Arabidopsis thaliana: one gene and its partner. The protein of the gene in region 2 interacts with the protein of the main gene of each other region in a pairwise test. Each region holds a gene or a part of one and is shown on either strand. Other genes may lie near its edges. The genes, in order: OFP13 and HSFA3.

Region 1 (4,140 bases), 430 kb from region 2:
TTAAATGTAGAGTAATAAATGAAAAGAGATAAGAGAGAAGTGAGTAGGTCTATGATGTTGGGATTCACAGGGCCTGTGTGTGTGTGACCACTGACCACAGCACCATTGCTCATCTCATGTTACTCCATTCACTTCACAATACAAAATACAAATTACAAATCTCTTTTGTAACATTTCAATTCAAACGTTACTATAGACCAACATTCTCTTTTAATGCACCCTCGTAAATACACTATCCTTTTCTGTATTTTTAAAACTTGAATCTCATAAGTTCATGACAATTACATTTATACATACACTACGGGTGTTTCTATTACGCTTATTTTCAAGATTTTAACTCCAGCATGGATATCACAAAAAGGGTTTTGCTAAATATCTTACGTGATGATGCTTTTAAGAGTCAAATCAATAAATAAAATCTCTATGTTATTAATGTTAATACATGAATTATCCGAGCATGATATTTAATGAGTCTTACAGTTTATGTTAGTGTAGTAGTCCTTGTGTAACCATCGAAAATTCGTAATACCAAATTTTATTTGGGGAAAAAAAATGTAAGGTCCAATATTTGTGACAAAAAAATTTTTAATATGGATGCCAAAGGAGCTACATGCCTACATCTAATGAGAAAGGCTATATAATATGCCTGCAAAAAAAATGAGAAATTATAATTCTATGTCCTTTAAAACCTAAAAAAGAAGTAAAAAATAAAGAGCTTAAATAAAAAGAAGTATCACAGAATTTATTCTTATGTATATTTCCTTTTAAAATGGGGCTGTTATACAAAATTTCTCTGAATCTGTTGGCATAAACTTCGCTGAGTTTCATGAATTTTGGGGGAAAAATAGTGTAACTTTCGAGTTATGACAAAAGGCACTGTTATACACATAAATCAACAATAATGGCTCTAAAAATATTTTTGATATATATTTAATGGTTCTTTTTCCTCTAACCACTAATTACTTTTTACAAAATCCAAAAAGGGTTAATTAATCTAAACAAAACCGGAGATTAAAAAATTTAAAACCGAATCTTAAGCCTTTTTTTATTTTTAACAGCTCCGTCTCTCTTCCTCTTGAATCTCCGTCTGACCTTGAGATAACGAATAAACCGGCGACGACGGCAAAGACGAAACGGCGGTTGAATAACGAGCCGAATCCGATACCGAAGCCGACGTTATTCCGGCGCCGGAATCAGAGAGTCCAGAGAGAAGATCAACAAAAGCACTGACGATAACGCCGTGACTCTTCCTCCCATTCATCCTCAAATACCAAGCGAGCATCGATTCCAAGCTCTCCCAATCTTTAGCCAACTCACCGTGACTCGTCACCATCTCCTCCATCGATCGCCGGAAATCACCGTACGGATCCTCGGATTCCATCGCCACCGCGACACTAATCTCCTCAATCGGCGTACTCCGATCTTCTCCCACCGCAACCGTTTCCTTCGATTTCAAATCCGATTTCGATTTCTCTTCAATCTCTTCCAGAATCGAACTCGTAACTCCTGGATCGAAGAATAACCGCTCCGATCTAACAACGCCACGAACCACCATCTCTAAGGACTCAGCGTCAAGGTCTTGATCCGACTCGGTTGAGTGACTCGCTGTCTCGGACGAGTTAGTAAACCATGACTCAGGCGTCTCCGCTTCCAACAAATCTCCTCCATTGTTGTTGTTGTGGTGGTGGTCGAAGAAAACAGAGTTCACCGTCTTGATCATGTCGTCGCCGACTCGGAACGAAAGAGTTTTGGCATTGTAACAGAGAGGAACCGCTAGTAATCCTCCGGCTCCGCCTTTGAACAGAGAAGAGAGTTTCATCTTCTTCTTCCCCATTGATACCACCAATTGTTTTTTTCTTTGTGAAGATCTTTGGTTGGGTTTGGGTTTAGTAATTAATGGAAGAGGAAGGAGTTGGAGGGAATGCGATATATGGGGAGAGAAGAGAGAGCTGGTGGGGTCAGGTCATGTGTCTATTTAATTTTGGGATATTTTTCTATTTGTTGTTAATTTTCCATTTTTTTCTGGTTAGTTATTTGAAGTGCTTTTACTTATTTAGTCTAAAGTCTTAACTATAAAAATTACGATGATTGAAGTTGATAGTTTGTTTTTGTTTTGCTTTGTGGTTAGCTTTTTCGATTCGTTTTCTGTTCAACCGGGATTTCAATAGTTTTTTCCAATATTTGATTTGCTACAATCCAAATTTTTAATATTGGTTTTTTCTACACTATTCGATCTAATAATTGATCAATTTTACAAAAATGTTTTTATAATGGAGATATATTATTTTTACAAATAGTTTATTGCTACATTTTACAATAATGTTTTTGTCGTTGTGATTTTATTGATATACACATGAGTGGAAGAATTATGTTTTTTACAAATATTTTGCTGTTTTGAAAAATTGACAATCTTCTTGTGTGACGAAAACACTTATCCTCATGCAGTTTACATATTATTAGCTCCATGGGTTGTTATTGCCTTGTTGGAGAGGTTGAATTTGTATTTTTTAACTAACAAAAGTTTCATGCAAACACGATATAATGGCTCTATGGGAATTTGAATTTTTATTTTGTCTTTGTTATCTAAATTTAAGATGATAATATTATACTCATGAACAAGTATAGTAAGACACAGCAGTAGCATTCAATTTGGTTGAAGACAAGAAAAATTAAATATTTTAATTAAAATAAAATAAAATAATACTAGAAAAAATGTTAGTCCCGAGCCAATGACAAAGCACTGTGCAGAACACAAAGCATTAAAAACGATTGCTTACAAGAAAATGTTGCAGAAAAACAAATCCCAATAAACATTTAGTAATTTTATATACTACTACTACTTTATAAAGGTTGATTGACGGTACTACATTCTTGTCTATTGGCTCGTCTTGTCAAATCTTCTTCTCATTTTTAATTACTCTCTCTTTACGACTTTAATAGTGTTTTACATCTTAATTAATTTGTTTAATTTTTTTAAAACTGATGTATAAGCTATTTTGTATTATATAATCCATAAACGAACACGTAAAAATCGTACTGATGCAGTCAGTTTTGACTTTCCTATAAGCACTGTGAGCTTCTAATACTCTCGGTCAACGTGTTATCTATAAATTACGTATGTGTAAATTATATGAAGCTTTGAGCTTAAAGAATGTTTCTTCTTGGTCGCAATACAAATTTCTAAAAGTAAGAATTGTAATTCAACTGAATAATTAAACTCGATGAACATCAGTTTCTTGAATATATATTTAAAAATAATTTATTTCGTTTAATTTTTTTTGAGGAATTGAAGTCTTATATTCGAAGAAGGACTATGTTATATGTATGTTTTTAATTAATGATGAATTTCTTGGACGATTTTCTTTACTAAGGTAAAATATATGATCCATCAAGGTAGAACAAGAATGTAGGGGATAGATCCTGAGACAGTGTCCTTTAGGAATCAGTCAATATTATAGAGTTTATCAGAGATATAAAACTGAAAGTAGTAAAAGATTTAAACAGAAGCAATCTGATGTTGAAACCCATTGTTGTGAAATAAATGCATCATTATTTTCGTACATTTTCAACTTTATTTACCCAACACCTCCATATCTTTCTCTTTTGCAAAAATTTCCTGTTTTGCCTTAATTTGCGTAAGATATTGGATCAACGTTTGTGGGATAAATATGGGAACATAGAATAAGAAAAAGAGAGAGAAAGATTGTGTGCAAAACTCATGTGAGGAATTAAAGAGGGCACCGTTGAATCACGCATATATTAACTGTGGATTTCCATCTTCTACTACTAGATCTTTAGTTAGGGGACCAAATTTACAAAAGTACAGTATATTCCTCTCTATGGTTTAAATTTTTAAATACATTAGACTATATATAAATTACATTTTTTCATTTACAGTACTTTGAATACTCTACAGTGTTCATGATAGACTATTCAACTTGTAACGTGTTTGCAAATGAAGATGTCTAAAAATAAAGTTTATAACATGCAATATTTGGAATACTCTACAGTGTTCCTACATCTTTTTAATTTTATGTTCAAATACGACATTTTTGCCATATTATCCTTTTAAATTTGCTCCCTATTTATACAGTTGATTAACAAAAAGTTATTTGAATACTCTTACTTGGTTTTATGAAA
Region 2 (5,599 bases):
ATGTTTTTTTCTAGGTAATTGATTGGAAAAATTGTTGACATTTCCATTAAGAACTCTAATTTTCCAACTTGCTTTGAGAAAAAGGTATTAAAAGGATCGATCCATACCAAACAAATCACATGAATATCTTAGTAAGTTTAAGATTTGACTATATGGCATCTAACAGACTATTCACTGAATATGTTCATTTGGTCTTAATTTTCTGATTTCGAATATTTTTGCAGTCATCATATATTTTATATCAAAATGGGCATTTAAAGCCCACTGTTAATTTTTAATTTCATTATAATGGCCTGCTAGATTCACTTGCAACAATCTATATTCGATGGGCCGAAACTAAATAAGCCCAAGTAAGAAAAAATTAATGTTGACAGTGGGATTTGAACCCACGCCCTTTCGGACCAGAACCTTAATCTGGCGCCTTAGACCAACTCGGCCATATCAACTTTTTGATAGTAAAATTTCAAAGTATGAATATAACCGATTTGCATAGATTTAAATGACAGGGACATGCCCTAAAATCCCTTGGTCCGATTAATAGCCTTCACTTCACGGCAAGTTCACGCCCTAAAAAGTAAAAACTGCGCTCGAGAGACGAAACCGCTATCATCTTCTTCGAGAACTTTCTTCTTTGACGCATCGTCTCCTTCAGGTCACAGTACCTCTCAAGACAATGGAGTTCTGGGGTAAAAATCTCCTATCTTCCTTCTTCTTCTTCTTCGTTCTCTGCGCTTCGTTTCCTGCATTTAGGTTTTTCTTTTTTTAAAAAAAATCTTTTGGTTTCATCATTTTTCTTCGTTTCCTACCGTTTCTTCTATGTGTAATCGTCAGGTTAGCTAAACGTGAGACGAGATTACATGAATACTGGCTATTGAATTTGTAATTAGTTTATAAATCTGTTATAAACCGGTACAAATTCCTTCAATCAAGACACAAAACATACCCCAACAGACAAGCAAAGGAGAAGAAGAAGAAGAAGAAGAAGAAGAAGAAGAAGAAGAAGAAGAAGAAGAAGAAGAAGAAGAAGAAGAAGAAGAAGAAGAAGAAGAAGAAGAAGAAGAAGAAGAAGAAGAAGAAGAAGAAGAAGAAGAAGAAGAAGAAGAAGAAGAAGAAGAAGAAGAAGAAGAAGAAGAAGAAGAAGAAGAAGACAGAGAGAGAGAGGAAAGAGCTTTTGCATTCGTACCTGGGACATAAATGATTAAACCAGACAGCTTCAGAGAGAAAAATCCTTTTAAAGAAACATTGTTCCACTTCAGACCTGCAAAAATTTTAATTACTCAAGCAGATAAAAGCATAATTTTGTGTTATATATCCTTCATAATCAATGTTATTAGACCCTGGATTAAGTGAATAAGAAAGGAACAATCAAACTCATCAATATTATATATATGTATAAAGAGTGCATTCAAAATGAATAATGAATTAATAGTTCACCCGATAAGAAACGGGTTTTTGGTCTAAACTATATATGAAAAGATCCTAAGGATCATTCATTGGCGTATTATCATCATCATCACCAGTTGGCCAGTTGAATCCAGTCTCTGTGATTCCTGCAGCAAATTGTTCCCAGCAGACATCAGGCAAACCATCACTTGTTGTTTCTGCAGCAAAACCAAACTCTGAGACATCATTATAGTCCATTGTGTTTCCCCATGCATCGGTGTTGCTGAAACTCGGTATTGTAGTATCGAAACCCATGCTCCATGTCGTCTCTTCTTGTTTAATAAGTCCTTCAGGAGATGGGAAGGACATCAAGTAATCTGGTTTGCTCATCTCTTCTTCTGATGGATACATCAAGTTCTTGCCTTTTGGATCGCTTGAAGTCATCCCTCCTAAACCCTTGGTGTTCTCAGTCTCTTCGTCATACATTAGCAATCTCTCCCAATCATCAGCTTCATACTTCACCACCTCCCCTCCTGTTGGAGAATCTTGAGGCTGCTGGTGGTGCTTGATGAACTTCTTTCTCGCCTTTTCCAATCCAAGAGCTCCTCCTTTTTCTTTTCCTTTGAAGTTCTTCAGGCGTTCCAAGAAACCCCGGTTCTGAAACAACTTAGCCAAGAAAGAGAGCAATTGCTTCTGACGTTGCTCTGCAGCTTTCAGCCTCTGGTTTACAGTGTCCACATGTCGAGCTGTGCCTCTGCTTTGCTGCTGAAGCTCAACCATTTCCTCCATCAATGCACGCCGCTCTTTCCTCAGCTTCTCAATCTCTCCTCCAACCTCAGTAGGTGACCCTTGGCTTTGGCTAGTGCTACTGCAGCAAGTTTGGTTGGATTGTGGTGATCGACGACGATGAATGTTCTTCAGAAGATGCTTCTTGCCTCTAAGGAAAGCCTCGTTAGCGAATTCCCACTTGTCAGTATCAATCTTTCGAAATCCCTGGAAACATTCCAACCCCAAAAAAACAACTCAAACAAGCTCAAGATAAAGTAAGTAAACACATTTACATCAAGACAAGACCAAATATCTCAAGATATTAGAAAGATTCTACCTCTGAAGTGTGAAGAACATGTGAGTAATGATGTCTTAAACCAGACTGAAGTTAACATTGTGAGAAAATAACAAAACTTCATAAACCAAAATTCTCCATTCAAACGAAACCATAAGTATACAAGATTACAAGCTTATTTCAGATGAGAAGTTATTATAAGATCCAATCGAGGCCAAAATTTCATAGATACAAAACTCAGTGTTACATGATAGAGAGATTAAACAAATCCCAAAAAGAAAAGAAAATTACAGGTAATTTTTTACAAGTTATCAAAAAACGAGTTTCAAGAATCTATACAAAATGGTTTTGGTCATCAAAAAGATTACAGAAACATAAAAACAAAACAAAACTGAAAGAAGAAGAAGAAGAAGAAGAATGAGTCTATCTAGAAAACAGAAACAGAGCAAGAGAGATGATTACATAAGTGTTAAGCTGTCTGACGAAGCTGGAGAAATTGTTGTGTTTGAAATTCCTTGGAAGTATGATTCTGGCAAACTCTAGAGGATCCCAAACTACGAAGCTAGCTCCGGTCAGTCCCCAAGAGATGACCGGGTCAAGAGTCGGGTCATCAACCAAATCAAAAGTCTTGGATAAAAAAGGTGGAATTGGATTCCCTTGTAAGATGTCTAGTGGCATGGGAAGTGGTGACCCAGAGAAACCCATGTCAGTGTCGACGTAGAGAGACCCGGGTATATCGGATCGTCTCGAAACGGGTACTGAAATTGGAGTTGGTTTAGAAACAGCATCTTTTTTTGGGCTCATTTGATATAGTAGAAAATTTACGGGTTTTAGTGAGAGAGAGAGTGAGAAATTGGGGTGTGTGTGATAATTAGGGGGTTTAAGAGAAGAAGGATGAGAGGTTTAATGGTTTATAAAGGTTTAGGGAAGGAAGTAACCGACAAACTGTAGTCAGATAATTGAAAAAAATCTGGGGAATAGAGAGGCGGTGGAAATGGGTGGGTCAGTTCCCGCCACCGTGGATTTATCTTTTTCGTCATCATGTTCCATTGATTCATCAGTTTAGAAGAAATTTGGAAACTTTAGTGACAAATAATTGTACAACCGACATTGAAATTGAAAGTTGTTTCCTTGCAGCTTCACTTAGCTCTCTCTCTCTGTGATTTGGTGAAGGAGAGAAAGTGGTGACGATGGTGGGTCCCACGTCATCTTGAGATTTTTGAAAGGAGGAGTGATTTAGCGCGTTTGCCAGGTCAGCTTTCTAATTTGGAACTGGGCCCTCACAAATCACTGATTCGCTTTTCGTGTTTCCTTTTTCAGAATTTAATATTGTATAATTTTGATTTACGCAATCCTATTGGTTACCGATCCATCAAACGATTAATTCGGAAGACAGGTAAAGTCGTTTTCAAGTGTGGGAACTTACTTAGACGCGAAGGCAAAAATAGTTGACTATGTATCTAGATATTTTCAGTCCCAATGCGTTTTTAACGATTTGGGATTATATTCATCTGTATTAGAGTCTCCGAAAGTTACAGTCTTATTTCATTTCTGTTGGTTTATAGTCCAGACTAATCGCACAGTGAACAAATGTAAATCCAATGAATCATATTGAGTTTGCAAAACCCTTTGACAGCATTTACCAGCTGCTCTTTTTTACCTTCGCTTAGTAACTAATTTAGCGGTATAAATGTACAGCAATGTAATTAAATATAGCTTTCAGTGCATTGCTACAAAGACATAACAACAAAATATTGCTTACCCTTTGGGACTAGATAGATAGATTATATCCCTCACATTGTTTCCATTACTACATTTTTTTTTCCTCCCTGTGACAATAGTCATGTACATTTTAACAATCTGCAACATTAAAAAGGGAACAAAACAGCAGACAAAGATCGCAAAAATAATACATGTATAAAAACCATGGGATTCTGTAGGATATGATTGATAGCTCATGAGGAATGTACCTTTAAAGCTATATCTTAACTAGTGTCTCCCTCCTGGGCAGCAAAAGAATGCTGAGAGTATATGTGCATATCATGATTATAACAACTTTTGAATGGACCGGGGGTATTTTACAAATCCGAGCGGTTGGGCGGAGGAACCGCTGATTTGATCAATGGTCTTAGCAAGTCCATTATAGTTGCAAATGATGGACGCTTCCATGGCTCACTGGTAATGAAACACATACATAAACATGAAGTCTATTCAAGAAGAATTCAAAAAAGAGATAGAAAATCTTAACGTACTTGGTCCAACAACCCTCGATTATGGCTGCAACCTGAGGATTCAGATTACGCGGGATCTCCAGCCGTTTACACTTGAAACCAACCGCAGCTACAACCTATGGAACATTTTTTTGTATGATCATATATAGCATGTTATGAAATGTAGAGTGAGGGACTTCCAAATGCAAAATAATATCATTATTATTTGAGATGTTTAGAGTGGAAAGTACCTGAGCCGGATTTAAGTTACCCCATGGTTGTTGCAATGTAGCAAGCTCCCACAAGATGACCCCGAAGCTGTACACATCTGACTTTTCATTAGACGGCTCATCTCGCAGGACTTCTGGTGCCATCCACTCGGGCTGATATATCAAAGTCAGTAATTATTTAGCTTCCATTGGAAATAGGACCTAGAAGAAAGTTACGTTGTTCAGCGTGTTTTAGTTTCAAACAAACTGAACTTACGGTTCCAGCTGCTGACTTCGAGGAAAGAAACGTGCTGGCCTTCAATCGCGAGAGACCAAAATCACAAACCTGAAATTTCAAGACAAATTGAGGAGTTAGAATAATAATGTTCTGATTGTTTTTAAGACGACAGCTTGAGGCTGCTGTATCTTTTAAGTTTCAGCAGATTAACGCCTTTTTGTAATGTCTCCAAACCAATTTAGAATTAAAAATCATAATTTATATATAAGCTTGTCTCACAAGAGGAATAAAATATCAAAATCAAAACATTGGACACAACAATTTCTAATTTAGATTCAAACCTTGACTGTATATTTTTTGTCAACCAATAAGTTTGGAGATTTTAGATCTCTATGCACAATTGGAGGATTGCGATTGTGAAGATAATTCATTCCCTTAGCCTGTGACAGAGAATTGGAAAGAAAGTTCCATGTGAAGAAACACCAAGATCAGGAAG

Evidence for each region.
Region 1: the proteins of HSFA3 (region 2) and OFP13 interact in binary tests that used the Arabidopsis thaliana proteins (3 or more experiments, as listed by UniProt).

Annotation. Positions count from the first base shown.
Region 1 is NC_003076.8:1,397,379-1,401,518, reverse strand, and holds OFP13 (ovate family protein 13), read right to left. Parts: upstream 2,125-4,140; 5' UTR 1,835-2,124; coding exon 1,052-1,834; 3' UTR 735-1,051; downstream 1-734. UniProt on the Arabidopsis thaliana protein: Transcriptional repressor that regulates multiple aspects of plant growth and development through the regulation of BEL1-LIKE (BLH) and KNOX TALE (KNAT) homeodomain transcription factors.
Region 2 is NC_003076.8:970,434-976,032, forward strand, and holds HSFA3 (heat shock transcription factor A3), read right to left. Parts: upstream 3,894-5,599; 5' UTR 3,251-3,893; coding exon 2,909-3,250; intron 2,377-2,908; coding exon 1,480-2,376; 3' UTR 1,195-1,479; coding exon of another isoform or gene 962-1,194; intron 741-961; 3' UTR 709-740; downstream 1-708. Other genes in the region: AT5G03710 (replication factor C large subunit), read left to right, coding at 674-686, 962-1,194; CTR1 (Protein kinase superfamily protein), read right to left, coding at 4,525-4,621, 4,699-4,793, 4,908-5,039, 5,143-5,211, 5,445-5,543. UniProt on the Arabidopsis thaliana protein: Transcriptional activator that specifically binds DNA sequence 5'-AGAAnnTTCT-3' known as heat shock promoter elements (HSE). Involved in heat stress response. Activated by DREB2A under heat stress.